3 linked regions of the Ovis aries genome follow. The protein of the gene in region 3 binds, or shares a complex with, the protein of the main gene of each other region. Links are inferred from orthologs where the notes say so. Each region holds a gene or a part of one and is shown on either strand. Other genes may lie near its edges.

What was found.
Region 1: RIPK3 (region 3) and CASP8 share a complex: the UniProt entries of both Homo sapiens proteins name them as parts of the AIM2 PANoptosome complex. The link is inferred for Ovis aries from reciprocal best matches to the Homo sapiens genes RIPK3 and CASP8.
Region 2: RIPK3 (region 3) and ZBP1 share a complex: the UniProt entries of both Homo sapiens proteins name them as parts of the AIM2 PANoptosome complex. The link is inferred for Ovis aries from reciprocal best matches to the Homo sapiens genes RIPK3 and ZBP1.

The regions. Positions count from the first base shown.
Region 1 is NC_056055.1:203,615,559-203,619,866, reverse strand, and holds the start of CASP8 (caspase-8), read right to left. Parts: upstream 2,801-4,308; 5' UTR 2,605-2,800; exon of another isoform or gene 1,244-2,604; intron 764-1,243; exon of another isoform or gene 720-763; intron 313-719; exon of another isoform or gene 219-312; intron 157-218; exon of another isoform or gene 94-156; intron 1-93. UniProt on the Homo sapiens protein: Thiol protease that plays a key role in programmed cell death by acting as a molecular switch for apoptosis, necroptosis and pyroptosis, and is required to prevent tissue damage during embryonic development and adulthood.
Region 2 is NC_056066.1:58,226,219-58,230,523, reverse strand, and holds the start of ZBP1 (Z-DNA-binding protein 1), read right to left. Parts: upstream 2,801-4,305; 5' UTR 2,747-2,800; coding exon of another isoform or gene 2,644-2,746; exon of another isoform or gene 1,335-2,643; 5' UTR 239-1,334; coding exon 1-238.
Region 3 is NC_056060.1:20,648,132-20,652,295, forward strand, and holds the start of RIPK3 (receptor-interacting serine/threonine-protein kinase 3), read left to right. Parts: upstream 1-1,361; 5' UTR 1,362-1,495; coding exon 1,496-1,515; intron 1,516-1,718; coding exon 1,719-1,859; intron 1,860-1,991; coding exon 1,992-2,301; intron 2,302-2,338; exon of another isoform or gene 2,339-2,622; coding exon of another isoform or gene 2,623-2,838; coding exon 2,839-2,984; intron 2,985-3,121; coding exon 3,122-3,168; intron 3,169-3,373; coding exon 3,374-3,541; intron 3,542-3,652; coding exon 3,653-3,738; intron 3,739-3,958; coding exon 3,959-4,164. UniProt on the Homo sapiens protein: Serine/threonine-protein kinase that activates necroptosis and apoptosis, two parallel forms of cell death. Necroptosis, a programmed cell death process in response to death-inducing TNF-alpha family members, is triggered by RIPK3 following activation by ZBP1.

The DNA.
Region 1 (4,308 bases), on a different chromosome or scaffold from region 3:
TATGGGCCCTTGAACCTGCCAGATCCCATTCTCAGTAGCCTAGAGAGTTCTAGATTCAAAGGCCTTCCTCTCCAAAGTCCCATCAGATCTTACCAGAGGCGAATCCTGGAACCTTCACAGCAGCAGCCACTTCACGGGCCTCTTCTCTCAGTACATCTAAGACAGGAATTAGAGTCAAATGAAGAACCAACAACGTAGCTCGCTTACTTCCTGTTTTCAAAACTCCTGAGTCACCATAGGCTGAGTGAGGCAGGCCAGCCTCCAGGCAGCACCCGCATCCTCATCTCCAAGAAGGAGCCCGTGGAATAAGAGGTAGGTGCTGGATGGGGACGCTGGCCATCTGAGACTTGCCTCTGGCTATGTGACTTTGGGCAGGTCATTTTCTCTTCGGGGCTTCTGTACCACATTCCAAAAGGAAAAAGGAACTGAATGATAGCTAAGAACCCTTTCTTTTCCTTTTCAGAAATATACAGATTTTTATGGGTTCATTATTAAGACTTCAATGGTTTCCTTCAATAATACTCATTGAGCACTCCTGAGTGGTCTTGAGTTCTGGAACTATGGGCCCTCACTATGGTTCAGAGGGTCTACTGACCCCCACAGAAATTCTCATGGTTTCCCCCACCTACATTCATATACAAGATCTCACCCTCAGCAGTCTAGGTCTAGAAAACTCTAGAATCATATTGTTTCCTCCCAAAAGGCCCAGCCAAACTCACCAAAGGAAAAATAAAATCCCAGGGCCCTCACCATGGACTGGGACCTGGAGATAAAACAGAGAACAAAACTCACTTTAGCCCTGCCTTTTGGCTCTCATCAGTTGTTTTCTGATGATTAAAGTAGAGGAAAAAAAAAAAAAAAAACCTCTCTTCTTTGAAACTACATGTTCTCTTTCCCCAAATGGAGTATTAGCTTTCAGAGGGCAAATTTCACAGCCGAGAGGATTAACAAGATAGCTGAAAATGCCCCTCCACCTGCAGAGAGCTAGGTAAGGGTTCTGTGTTCCTTTTGTGCCCTTAACTTCCCTTGACTCTGCCCTGAGAACTCCGAGTGAGAAGGCAGCCACAGAATGAAAACCTGTTAGTGGCTAAATCCTATCCCAGGAAGTGCCCCCTTGCTCTTTTCTTGCAGCCTCCTAAATACATCCACCCAATATCTGTCCTGCTGTTTTATGGCTGGTTCCTATCCTAGGCTGTGATCTTCACAAAGGCAGGGACCACATCTTTCATGTCCATGTTTCCAGTTTGTGCCACAGGAGTAGAAATACCTCGAATATACAAAGGTCTCCTGCAGATCAACAAGGAAAAGAAACCCTGACGAAAGACAATGGATCTGACTATAGAGTTCCTTGACAGAGATACTCAGATGGCCAAAGTGTGCGAATGATACTCAAATTCATGACTAAGCTGGGGAATACAACGCAGGTATGAGCTACCTACTTTGTACCTATCAGAATGGCAAAGGTTTGCAAGCTGGAGCCAGCCAAGTTCTTGGTGGGCCAGTTCTTCTATAGCCCTTATATAAGTTGTAGAGACTGTCCGTCATGGAATAATAAGCAGCGGTTACAAAGTGGGAGCAGGCAAAACACATAGAACTTAAAGTACAGAGTGCTTACTTGCAAAAAATAAAAAATAAAAAGTCAAAAACAGAACAAGCAAATTACAATATGAATACTAATACATAACATGTAATAATAATTGCTAACACTTACTGGGTACAGAGCAACACCAGTCACTAAGTGGCTAAAGCTGTTATTATCAAATAAATCCTCACAGCTACCTGTTGAGGGAGTGTTAATCCCACTAATGATGAGGAAACAGAGGTACAGAGAAATTATTTTCTTGCTCTGGTCACAGAGTTTAAGACACAGTGTACACACACAAAACAATGGTACATTTCACAAAGATACAGAACAATTAAGGATATGTATCATAAGATGCGGAGGGTTGTCTTTGGGAGCCGGCTTCTCGGGTGGCTCAGTGGAAAAGAATCCAAGTGCCAATGCAGGAAAAGCAGTTTCGATCCCTGGATTGCAAAGATCCCCGGGAGACAGGAGTGGCAACCCATTCCAATATGTTTGCCTGGAAAATCCCATGGGCAGAGAAGCCTGGCGGGTACAGATTCTAGGGTTGCAAAGAGTCAGACATGACTGAGCGACTAGCAAACACACACACTTTGGGAGCCAGCGAGGAGGATAGGAGATAGGTTGGGGAGTGGGGAGATCCAAGAAAATGGATAAAGCAGGGCAGGGTCGGGGGGCCCATGGGTCCCCAAGACCAAGGGTTTATAGGGAATCGGGATCTGATTGAGTGATCAACTCAACCCTCTGCCCCAGGACAAGTGGTATAGAAAATAAACATAAAAAGGTAAATAAAGTCTTCTGGGAAATCTAAAGTAAACCAGCAGGAGACAGTGTACCTATACTCGAGGCAGCAGAGGAACTGGCGCGTCCTCAGATTAAAAAGTAGCAAAGCCAGGGGCTGTGGTTCAGATAGGAACCCACTCAGAACCTGGCACTCTGGCAGGACTGGGAGGTGACTTCCCCGGGAAGTCCTCGAGTGAGAAAGGCGGCATCCAGAAGCCAACTGGGCACCAGGCACTCACCTGCTCCACACAGTCCTGGCAACATCCCAGCCACCAAACTCTCGACGACAAGACCCCACACTGCCTAACTTCACACTTCGTATTACTGAGGCTCGTTCTTAAAACCCAGCTGGAGATAAATCCCTGGAAATGAGGCAAGCGGGAGGGGGAGACAGGAGGTGGGGTTGGAAACGCCTCCAGGAAGAAGTTTACTTTTACTTTCGATGCCTCCACCAGGCTTTTATGCCTGCCCCTGGAAGACTCACTTCCTGGTTCTCTCCTCTCTACGTTCAGAATTTGCTACCAAATTCCGCAGGGCTTTAAAAAATCTTGAGATAAAAGAAAGAGAACCTGTGAAACCATTGCCTTCCAGCAGAAGGGCAAACTCTGGTCTTCAGGAAGAGAGAAAGAAAATTCCTGAAGAGAGAGAACTAGAAAATAAACTTGATTTGGAAAGCTGGAAAACTGAGGTGACTCACTTGAACAGAAAATGTTTCTTATTTAAAGGAACCGAAGCCCAATTTCCCTACATTCAGAAGTGACCACAGACATGCAACTAAACTGCATGTCAACATGCAAACTAAAAACCAGGAAGCTGGACGTGTTTTATTGGAAAGCATTTTACTCACTGCATTTAGTGTTTATCAGCTCTCTAATTTTTAAAGAGACTTGAGACTGCCTGTGGCCAGTAAAATGTCATTCTCGCTTGAAAGGGGTCTGCAGAGAAAAATGCTTCCTCTGTTCTGTGGCCTGAATCTTAGCACTGCAGCCGTGGACAAGCTCCCCAGATCATCTGGCAAGAACTCTTCCTGGGTCCAAACAGATCTCTAGCTGAGTTGTGAGGAAATTCAGCACCAAAAGGGGGTGAGGTCCTGCCCAGCCCTAAGCAGGGGTAACCATCCTTGTCCAGTGCTGAGCCCCTGGTGGGGAGGGGAGTGTTGGGGGGAGGGGACAGTGATGTGAAGACCTCTCCTCTGGGAGTCTGAACCTCCCCAGCTTTTCTTCATCCTCCACCCTCTCCCCACCCTCTGCCTCTGTTAACTGTTTGAATTTTTTAAAGAGTTTTCTGCCTTTTTGTTTTCACATCTTCTAGATTTTAAAACTACGACACCAATAATAATGCAATATCTGTACGTTGCACCTTTACATCAATTATTTCTCATTCTCCCAACAATGTAGAGGATCCCGCATGTCATGGAGGAGGAAGCGGAGGCTCAAATGAATATATGAATTCGAACTCAGTCCAGCTGGATCCAAAACAAGGATTTTTCCACCATAACACACTATTCCCTCCCCCAAAAGTTAGGATTTGAAATGAACCATGTGGATGGAAGAGTGCTAAATTTAAACTCACATGATGACCTATGTGCAGAGGTCAGAAGGTCACCTAAGAAAAAGGAGGCGGCCTACAGGCACCAGCTAACAGCATAAAAATTCTGTGTGTGCCACATGTATAACCACCCAAACTGGTTCATTTCACTTTCTGAGTAATTCGCAGAAGTGGATGCTATTTTTGCTCTCATTTGAGCAAGGAAGCTGAGGTTTGGAGAGGTGAAAGACTTAGACAAATATCTTCAGCTAGTGAGTGGCAGGATGAAGTTTTTGTGCCTCTCTAAAACCCTGAAAGGTTAATCAGTGTCTGAACATTAGTACACACCCATGGCTCTCAACTTGATTGATCTGAGGGTTAACTGATTAGGTTTCTAAATTGCCAGTCTTCAGGCC
Region 2 (4,305 bases), on a different chromosome or scaffold from region 3:
TGTGGAGGAGCTGGTTGAGCTTCTTCTTGGGCACTTGCAATTTCTTTAACAGTTGGGTGGTCTTCACAGGGGAGCCAGCATCCCTCAACACCTCCAGAATTCTCTGCTCAAGGTCTGGGAGAGGGAGACAGGGGCAGAGACAGAACTGAGGTCCCCACGACCCAGCCTGGGCCGTCAGGCGCCCCCCAGAGAGGGATCTAGGGCAGACGGAGGAACAGAGGTTAACGTAGACACCCATCAGTGTCTCCTTGTCTTCAGGGAGGGGCGCGTGGGCTGCTCAGAAGTGACCTGGGCAGGACAGTCTGGTGGCCAGAGGAGCTGCCAGGCCTTCCGAGTGTCCCCTGCCTGTGTGAGCACTGGAGGACAGATGAGAACAGTCAGCCCTCAGGTGTCCTCAGAGCAGAAGAGAGTGGAGGCGGCAGGATGCAGGAGGGTAAGGGCGGAGCAGAGGAGCCAGGGAAGTAAGGCCTGTCCCTGGTGCCTTCTATCCCCCATCCACCCCGCCCTGTGGAATCTGCTCCTCGGGCTCACCATCCACGGGGGGGTTTCACCGTTCATCCCCCCCAGAAGCCCAGCCGGCGTCCAGAAACAGAGCTTTCACCCTGCTGCCCAACCATGGAGTCCTGGTGGTGCCGCTCCAGACTCTCTCAACCCCTTCTCCTTTCCTCTGCCTCCACTCCCCACTCCTTGTCAGCATCCCCTCGATGACAGAAGTTCCACCAACTCCAGCTTCCCTCCAGTCCACCCTCCTCTTGGCTGGCAGAACCCGTTCTGCCAGCCTCATCTTTACCCACCCTCTACTGCCCTTCAAGTGCCAACCTGTTTGAATTCCTTTCAGCCATACTCACCCCTGGGCCTTTGCACATGCCATTCCCTTTGCCAGGCATGCTCTTCCCCCCATTTCCACCTGTCCAGTGTGAGTTCTCACTCAGACTCCAATGCTGGAAGGCTGTCCTGAGTGCCCTGAGCAGGTGGGATGCTGGTCCTGTGTGGGTCCCCTGCAGAGTGTCCCCAGGGATCCGCTGCTGTGACTGCCAGGTTCACTGTAGTGGTTCTGTGTCTAGCCATGGGCCAGGCATGCAGTAGGGTCTCACGAACTATTAACAGCATTTGAATGGAGGAGGGACTGGATGAAAGAGTGAGTGTCCACTCCTGGGTAGATGTGTGCTCAGATGGCCTGGGCAGGGGATGGGCGCTCCTCCAAGGCCTCTGTTTCCGCCTCCCCTCTGCCAGAGTTAATGGTCCTAAGCAGGATGCCTCTAGGCTCAAAGAGGAACTTTCCAAATAGCCTCTACTCCTCGCAGGCAGGCTCCCATAAACCCAAGCCGGCTGCCCTGTGGGGAGTGAGAGAACTGGTGGGCGCAGAGCCAGCAGTGCATGGCGCTGGGAGAGAAAGTGTCTGCCCCTGAGAACACCATGGGAATGCAAAGCAGGGCCTTTCTTGGGAAGGCCAAGTTACCTTCCCAGGGCAGCAGCCCAACCCTTTGACTTCTGGGTTCTTGCTGGATTCTGAGTGGGCAGCACTAGGGGATGACCTGTTTGCCAGCTCTGCGCTGGGCACTGTGGCTTGCTCTTGTGGGCGGAAGGTTTGCTTTCTTCTGGGGGCAGGTGATGTGCATTACAACCCCTGGGGTCACCCAGCCTGAATTTCACTCACTAAACACTACCCCCGAGACTGTCATACCCGTCCCACCCACTGATGCTTTGCCTAGCCTTGAAAAGAGTTTTGATTCCTGAAAAACCTGCTCCTGGGTGAGCCTCTCTCTCTTCCTCCTCCTGCAGTCCCCTGACCCCAAAGAGGAAATGGGGTCCATGCAGTGAAGGCTGGGCTTGCCTCCCCCACTGAGTCTTCTGGCTGCTGAACCAGAAATTGCAAAATGGGATGAGGTATAAATGATACATCAGTTAAAAGGAAAACCTGCTGGGGAACAAGTTAAATTCAGTTACCCAGTGCCCCTGACAAGTCTCCTTGGGAAAATACAACAGGAACCTGGGAACCCACCCTGGGATTCTGGGCCACTCCCAGTTAACCCCCCTCCCTGACACAGCATATTTTCCTGGGTTTGAGCCAAAATTCTGCCACCTATCAGCTGTGTGACCTCCATTTCCCCATCTTTGAAATGGTGAGATTCATGACTACTTCAGATCATGGTGAGGTTCAGATAGTTACTGATCACAGAACAAAGACAGACAAAAAGCACCTCAGCCCCCAGCCCACACCCTTTCGGTGGGGACCCTAGGAATCAGCTCTGTTCAGTGCCAGTTAAGTTTCGTGTGCGCCATTCAATAAAAGAACAGCAGCAGGAGGAAAGCCACATACAAGCAAAGCAACTTCCCTCCTTCCTCAAAACGAAAGTGAAGGCGGGTGTTCAGGCCCCACGCTCAGCTGTGGTCGCCTGAGTCATTTCACCTGTGCTGCCTGTGATCTCGGGAGTGAGGTGGGAACCTCAGCGGGCTTCCCCTGAGGGTTCCTGCAAAACGCACACGGATTGAACCCGATGCAATGCTCTCTCCCTCTCTTGTTACGGTGGTGCCTTCAGGTATTAGCCTATCATGGTTGTCATCTGAACCAAGAAAAGGAACCAGAAGAAAAGTTAAGTCCAGCCCAGGCACTCCCGCGGGTCCTTAGAAGGAAAAAAGTACCTGTGTCTCCTGGGTCAGCAGGGACCTCGGCCATGCTGGCAGCAGCTGCAGGAAGCCTGGGAGACTTGGAGTCAGCAGCAGGCTCTGACCCTGGGGCCTGCATAAGGTGGGTCCGGTCAAGGCTGTGTGTACTCTTGTGGGCCAGGCTGGTGCTTCTAGCAGCTGTGAAGACACTCCAGCTTCATCCGGACAGCTGTCAGCTGTCAGCTGTTCACACCCCGGAAATGAGGCCCTAGGCAGCCAACCTGATCAGTTTCTGGAGAAAATGAAAATGAAACTCTTATGTGTGGTTTTTGAGAGAAACAAAATCGAAAGCTGAATTGAGCAAGACACAGTTAGGCCTTCTACTAGATATTGGTAGGGAGCTGCTGAGATGGAGGAGACCAGAGCTTCTTCTAGGGCTGGGGGGATTTCCCACCACTGTCCACCTTGACTCCCCCAGCCACAGGCCAAGATACCTGGGTGGGTGAGTGGCTGAGCGCTTGTGATCATCAAAACCACATATGTGTGTGCATATCAAACCAACGACAGTGTTGGTGTACGGCAGAGACCACAACATTAAAAAGCAATTATCCTCTAATTAAAAAAAAAAAGGAGGACTGTTTAATGAGTACTTACTATGTACTTTCCAACCTCATGTGCCCCTGACTCATCTACAGGTTAGGATCTAGTTAGGGTCTCTTTTCTCAGGAAACTGAGGCTCGGGTCAATGAGGCCACTTGTCCAAGATCACAGAGATGCTCAGGTTCTAACTCAGCCCCACCATTTACTGGCTGTGGGACCTTGGACAGATTATTTTACCTATTTATGTCTTAGTTATCCCATCTATGAAATGAGCTAATAAAAGGAGTGACCTCAAGAGGTGGTGGCGAGGACTAAAAGGGTTAATTCAGGCACCTCTACAGCCATGAGCATAGCTGGGCACCCACTGACCTGGTTCTGGAAAAAAAGACCCATCGCTTCTGAAAATTCTTACAGGGGCCATTGACCTCCCCAAACAGTTCAGAGACCCTGCTCAGTCCAGGTGACGGAAGGGGAAACTGAGGCCAACAGAGGTGAAGGGCTTTGTGCAAGGCAGCCCAGAGGGTCAAGGGCTCAGGGTCTCAGCTGAGGCCAAGGAGTAGGTGCCAGTCCCGGGCTCCCAGGGGAACACCATCCGCAGCATTTCTGCAAAGGGAAGCACTTGGGAATAAGTACAGCCATGGAAAGGGCCCCGAAGGCTTATCTCAAAGTTATCTTTGTGTTCCTGAGTCCAAGTTCTCCCGGCTCACTGCACAACAGGCCAACAAATCAGAGATGAGGTGTTGAGGCAAGAAATACAACTTTATTTGGAGAGCCAGCTGACCGAGAAGATGGCATACTATTGTCTTAAAATAACCATCTTATGGGGTCTGGATGCCAGGTTCTTTCACAGATCAGAGGTGGAGGGAGATGAGGAAACAAAGTAAAAAGGCCATTAATCTTGCGAACATCTCAAATGGCGAGCCTCAGGCAGGGGATGTGTTCATTTCTTCCTTCCTGCCATCTACAGGTGGGCAGGGTTCTGAACAAAGGCACTCTAGTTTAGCAGTCAGGCAGAGGGGGCAGGATTCTGAGGCAGACCATTATGGGTGATTATAATAACAAAAGCAACAGAGAGCAAATTAGAAGGAACGCATGTAA
Region 3 (4,164 bases):
TCTGTCGACTGCGCAGGTACGTGAAGAGACCCCAAACCAGAAATAAACCCAACCTCCTAGCTCCTCTCTGTTGACTATGGAGCACCACCTGGGATGGTTAGCATCTCAGTGAAGCCTCAAAAAGTTTGGGTTGTTCATTTATTAATCCAATTCAACAAATATTTATTGGATACCTACCTTGTACCAGCTTTTAAAGAGACTACAATTTAAGAATTCCCTAAATAGGTCAAAAATAGCATGCACTGACTCCATCAGAATTCAAGATGTGTATCCTGGAGTTCCAGTTTCTGGAGGAACCACAGTTAACTGCTGGCCACTTTTGCTCCAGCTAGAGGAGTCCATGGACCACTGGACAGGATGGAAAGTTCCACAAGGTGAGCACCTTCCAGGGAGTCTTGCCCCATGACCCACAGGGTTGAGTCTCCCCATGAAGGACTGAGTGCCTAAGGCTGGCCGTATCTAATTCCATAACCTTCAGCTATGGTCAGGCCTTGGGCAGGTAAAATATGAACACCTTTTGTCAACCCTGAATCCTTAAGTCTCCCCAAGCTCCTGAGTTCTCCAAGACCCTTGTCCAGAGCATGTTTGTCAGGAAGATTTATTAATATTAACCAGAGAATTTGCAATGGAGGGTGGGGAGAGAGGGCAGAGAGGCTCTGCGGTGTCTCCACTGCCGTGTACACCACAGTATCAGCAACTCTCTGGTGGGCCAATTCACCTAGCTGACCACAGCACCCTGGGAGAGGTCTGTATTCGGAAAGAATAGAGCCCAGTGGACAAGCCACACCTTCCCCCGTCACCTTCCCCACCAGCTGACGTCTTTGTGAAAACGGCAAAGCTTCACGGTTCAGAGCCAGGCTCTGACGTCAGTTCCATGTCAGCTTGGGCCAGGTGCTTATACGCTCAGTGGTTTCTCACCTATAAAGAAGTAACAAAAGCAGTACCTATCCCCTTGGGTTGATGTGAGGATTAAGTGAGCTAATGGCATGTGGTGAGCTTTAGAGAAGTGTTAACTATGATCTTAGGGCAGCTGTGGGAGAACAGAGTCCTAGGACCATGACATCCTACTCAGCGCCACCGCCCGCACTCCCCCCGCCCCCCGCCAACCCTCCGCTCCCCGAACCCCGCCGCGGTATCCCAAGCTTGGCGCTGGAGCTGGGAATCCTGTGGAAGAAGGGAGAGAGGCCAGCGGTAGGAGGTGGTTGCGGGTTCCTGGAGGGTGAGGATACCCAGCGACAACCAGACCTGACCTGACACCTTGGGAGCAGCACTAGTTTCTGTTCTGCACCCTGCCCTGTGCCCTTCCCCGCCCCCGGGGCGGGACTGTAGAGGCATCAATTAAAGAAGGAAGTGGATCGGGCAGAGAGCACAACCCCGCGAAGCGGGAAGCGGAACCGTGAAGGAGCCTGGAGGTTGATTCCTCTCCCCGCCCCCAACCCCTCTTTCATCCGTGGGGGCTCGCAACTTCCAGAAGCTTCTCTCATCTTCCAGCCTGATGTCTGGCTCTGCGTTATGGTGAGTGGAGACTGAGATATGGATGCGCCTCGTGCCAAGACCAGGGCACAGTGCGTCTCACGGGAGGGGCTGGGGCTCGAACTGACAGCGCTGAGCCGAGTCACGGAGGTGGGCGCGGGGGGCGGTTAGAGGGGTGGGCCTCGGAGGGGAGTAGGGAGGCCTTGGGCCCGCGGCCGGCTGGTTACGTGGCCCCCCTCTCTCAGGCCCAGCGGTGCCTCAGCCCCGCTGGTGCCCATCGAGGAACTGGAGAACCCGGAGTTAATAGGCAAGGGCGGATTTGGCTCTGTCTTCCGGGCACATCACAGGAGTTGGGGCGTAGAAGTGGCGGTCAAGATCGTGAACTCGTGAGTGACCCGAGGTGGGGTCTGGTCCAGGAGGCTGGGCCGGGGAGGAGGGGCCGCTGTGCGGGGCGGGGCCTGGGCGGCGGGGAGGGTCGCTCGGGCGCAGAGCTGACGGCACCTCTCCCCTGAGAGCAGGAGGGCCATATCCAGGGAGGTGAAGGCCATGTCCAGTCTGCATAACAAGCATGTGCTGCTCCTGCTGGGGGTCACCGAGAAGCTGGAGTGGGAGTACGTGTCTGGGCCGGCTCTGGTGACTCCGTTCATGGAGAACGGCTCCCTGGCGGAGCTGCTACAGCCCCACTGCCCTCGGCCCTGGCCGCTCCTCTGCCGCCTGCTGCAGGAGCTGGTGCTCGGGATGTGCTACCTGCACAGCCAGAACCCAGTGCTTCTCCACCGGGACCTCAAGCCCTCCAACGTCCTGCTAGACTCAGAGCTGCACGCCAAGGTCAGCCCACCCTCACCCAGCCCATCTTCTGGACCAGGTCCTGCCCCAGAGCTGCTCCAACCCCATCCACGGGACATAGGACCCGCATCTGCTGCAGCCCTGTCTCCTGAATACCCTCAGCATCTCCCTCTGGACACAGGGCTGCCCAAGTGTCAAGGCCTAGCCTGGAGCTCTGGCCCCTGCCACACCAGGTGATGGAGGCCTTGACCATCACCTGACCATCACCTGACTTACCCTGGTCAGTTCCACAGGCCCACCCCACGGGCCTCCAAAGACCCGTAGCTGATCTATCCCAGGAGACTCAGACCTCAACCTGGTGCCATGGAGAGGGGACCCAGGCCTCCAGCCAGGGGCCCCACTGGTCCTACCCTTCCCCTAACCCTCCATACAGTCTTTGCAAGGCTGGGCCTGCACTTTTGGGGGGAGAGGAGTAAGGAAAGGGTTCTGGGAGTTTCTTGGACCTGCCCATTCCCTATCTCCTTCTTATCTCCCTTTTGTTCCATCCCCTATCTCCTCGTTCTTATCTCCCTTTTGCAGGTGGCAGATTTTGGCCTGTCCACATTTCAGGGAGGCTCACAGTCAGGGGCAGGATCTTGGGAGTCAGGGTGCACCCCAGCCTACCTGGCCCCAGAACTGTTGGCTAATATAAACCAGAAGGCCTCCAGGGCCAGTGATGTCTACAGGTAAGGCACCCACTCCAAACATATATCCAAACATATATCCCCAATTTCTACACCTGCCTGGGTCCTTCAAAGGGATGCTGTATGGAAAGGAATCTTGCCAGCAGTTGAGTCAGGCCTCAGCTTTGTGTCTACTGCAGCTTTGGGATCCTAACATGGGCAGTGCTAGCCGGAAGAGAAGCTGAGAGTAAGACAGACTCTGGGATCCTTCACCTCAGGTGCCCCCCTCCTCTAAGCCCCCAGTCTCCCAACCCCAAGCCCTCTTCCTCCTGTTTACCTGCTCAGACTGCCCCACTCCCTCCTCACATCTCCTACACTCCCCAGCCCTTTCCGTGATGGGGTAGCCTTCATACTCTGAATGCCTTCTCTTCACACCCCTACCCCCACCCTAGTAGTGCCCCAGACGTTGTTGGTGCGGGAAGCAGTGTGTGAGAGGCGGATCCGGCCCCCGCTGACTGAGCTGCCCCCGTCTGGGCCTGAGACTCCTGGCTTGGAAGAGCTGGCAGATCTGATGCAGAGGTGCTGGAGCCATGAGCCCCAGAAGAGGCCTTCCTTCCAAGGTGTGCTGGCCATCCGGCTGGCAGCTGAGACAGGCCTGAATTTGTCAGCAGGGGCTTCTCCCCCGGAAAAGAAATTTTGTTGACCTGCCACCCACTCTGCCTTCTCTCTAGAATGCCGAATAAACACCCAGAAAGCCCTTGATCTGGTAAATAAAGGAGATGCGCCTGGTAGAAAGATGAATGCCGCAGTCTACGTGGTGAGTGCTCACCCCCACCCAGGAGCTGGGCAGGATGGCAAACGCGGCCCCCTTGGCCACTCAGTGACCCCCCACTGACCACCCTTCTCTAAGCTTTGACCATGGTCCCCTCTCTCCTCACCCCATCCCTGAGTTCCCAGGCAACAGATATGGACCCAACTCCCTTGGGTTTACTCCGGCTCTCCCACCTCCATGCCCAGCCAGCTCCCCATCCCTACAGGTGAAGGAGTTCCTTTCTGAGTACAGGGGCAGCAACAGCCCAGGCCTGGAAAGGACAGAAATAGACAGTCCTAAGGAAACCACAGGAAGCCATGATTCCCTGGGCTCTGAAATGATGAAGCTGAATCTGGAGGGGCGCCCCAGCTCTGTTCCTGAAAAATGTACAAACCTTCTTGAGAACATCAGGGTCCCGAGAGAGCAGGTTCC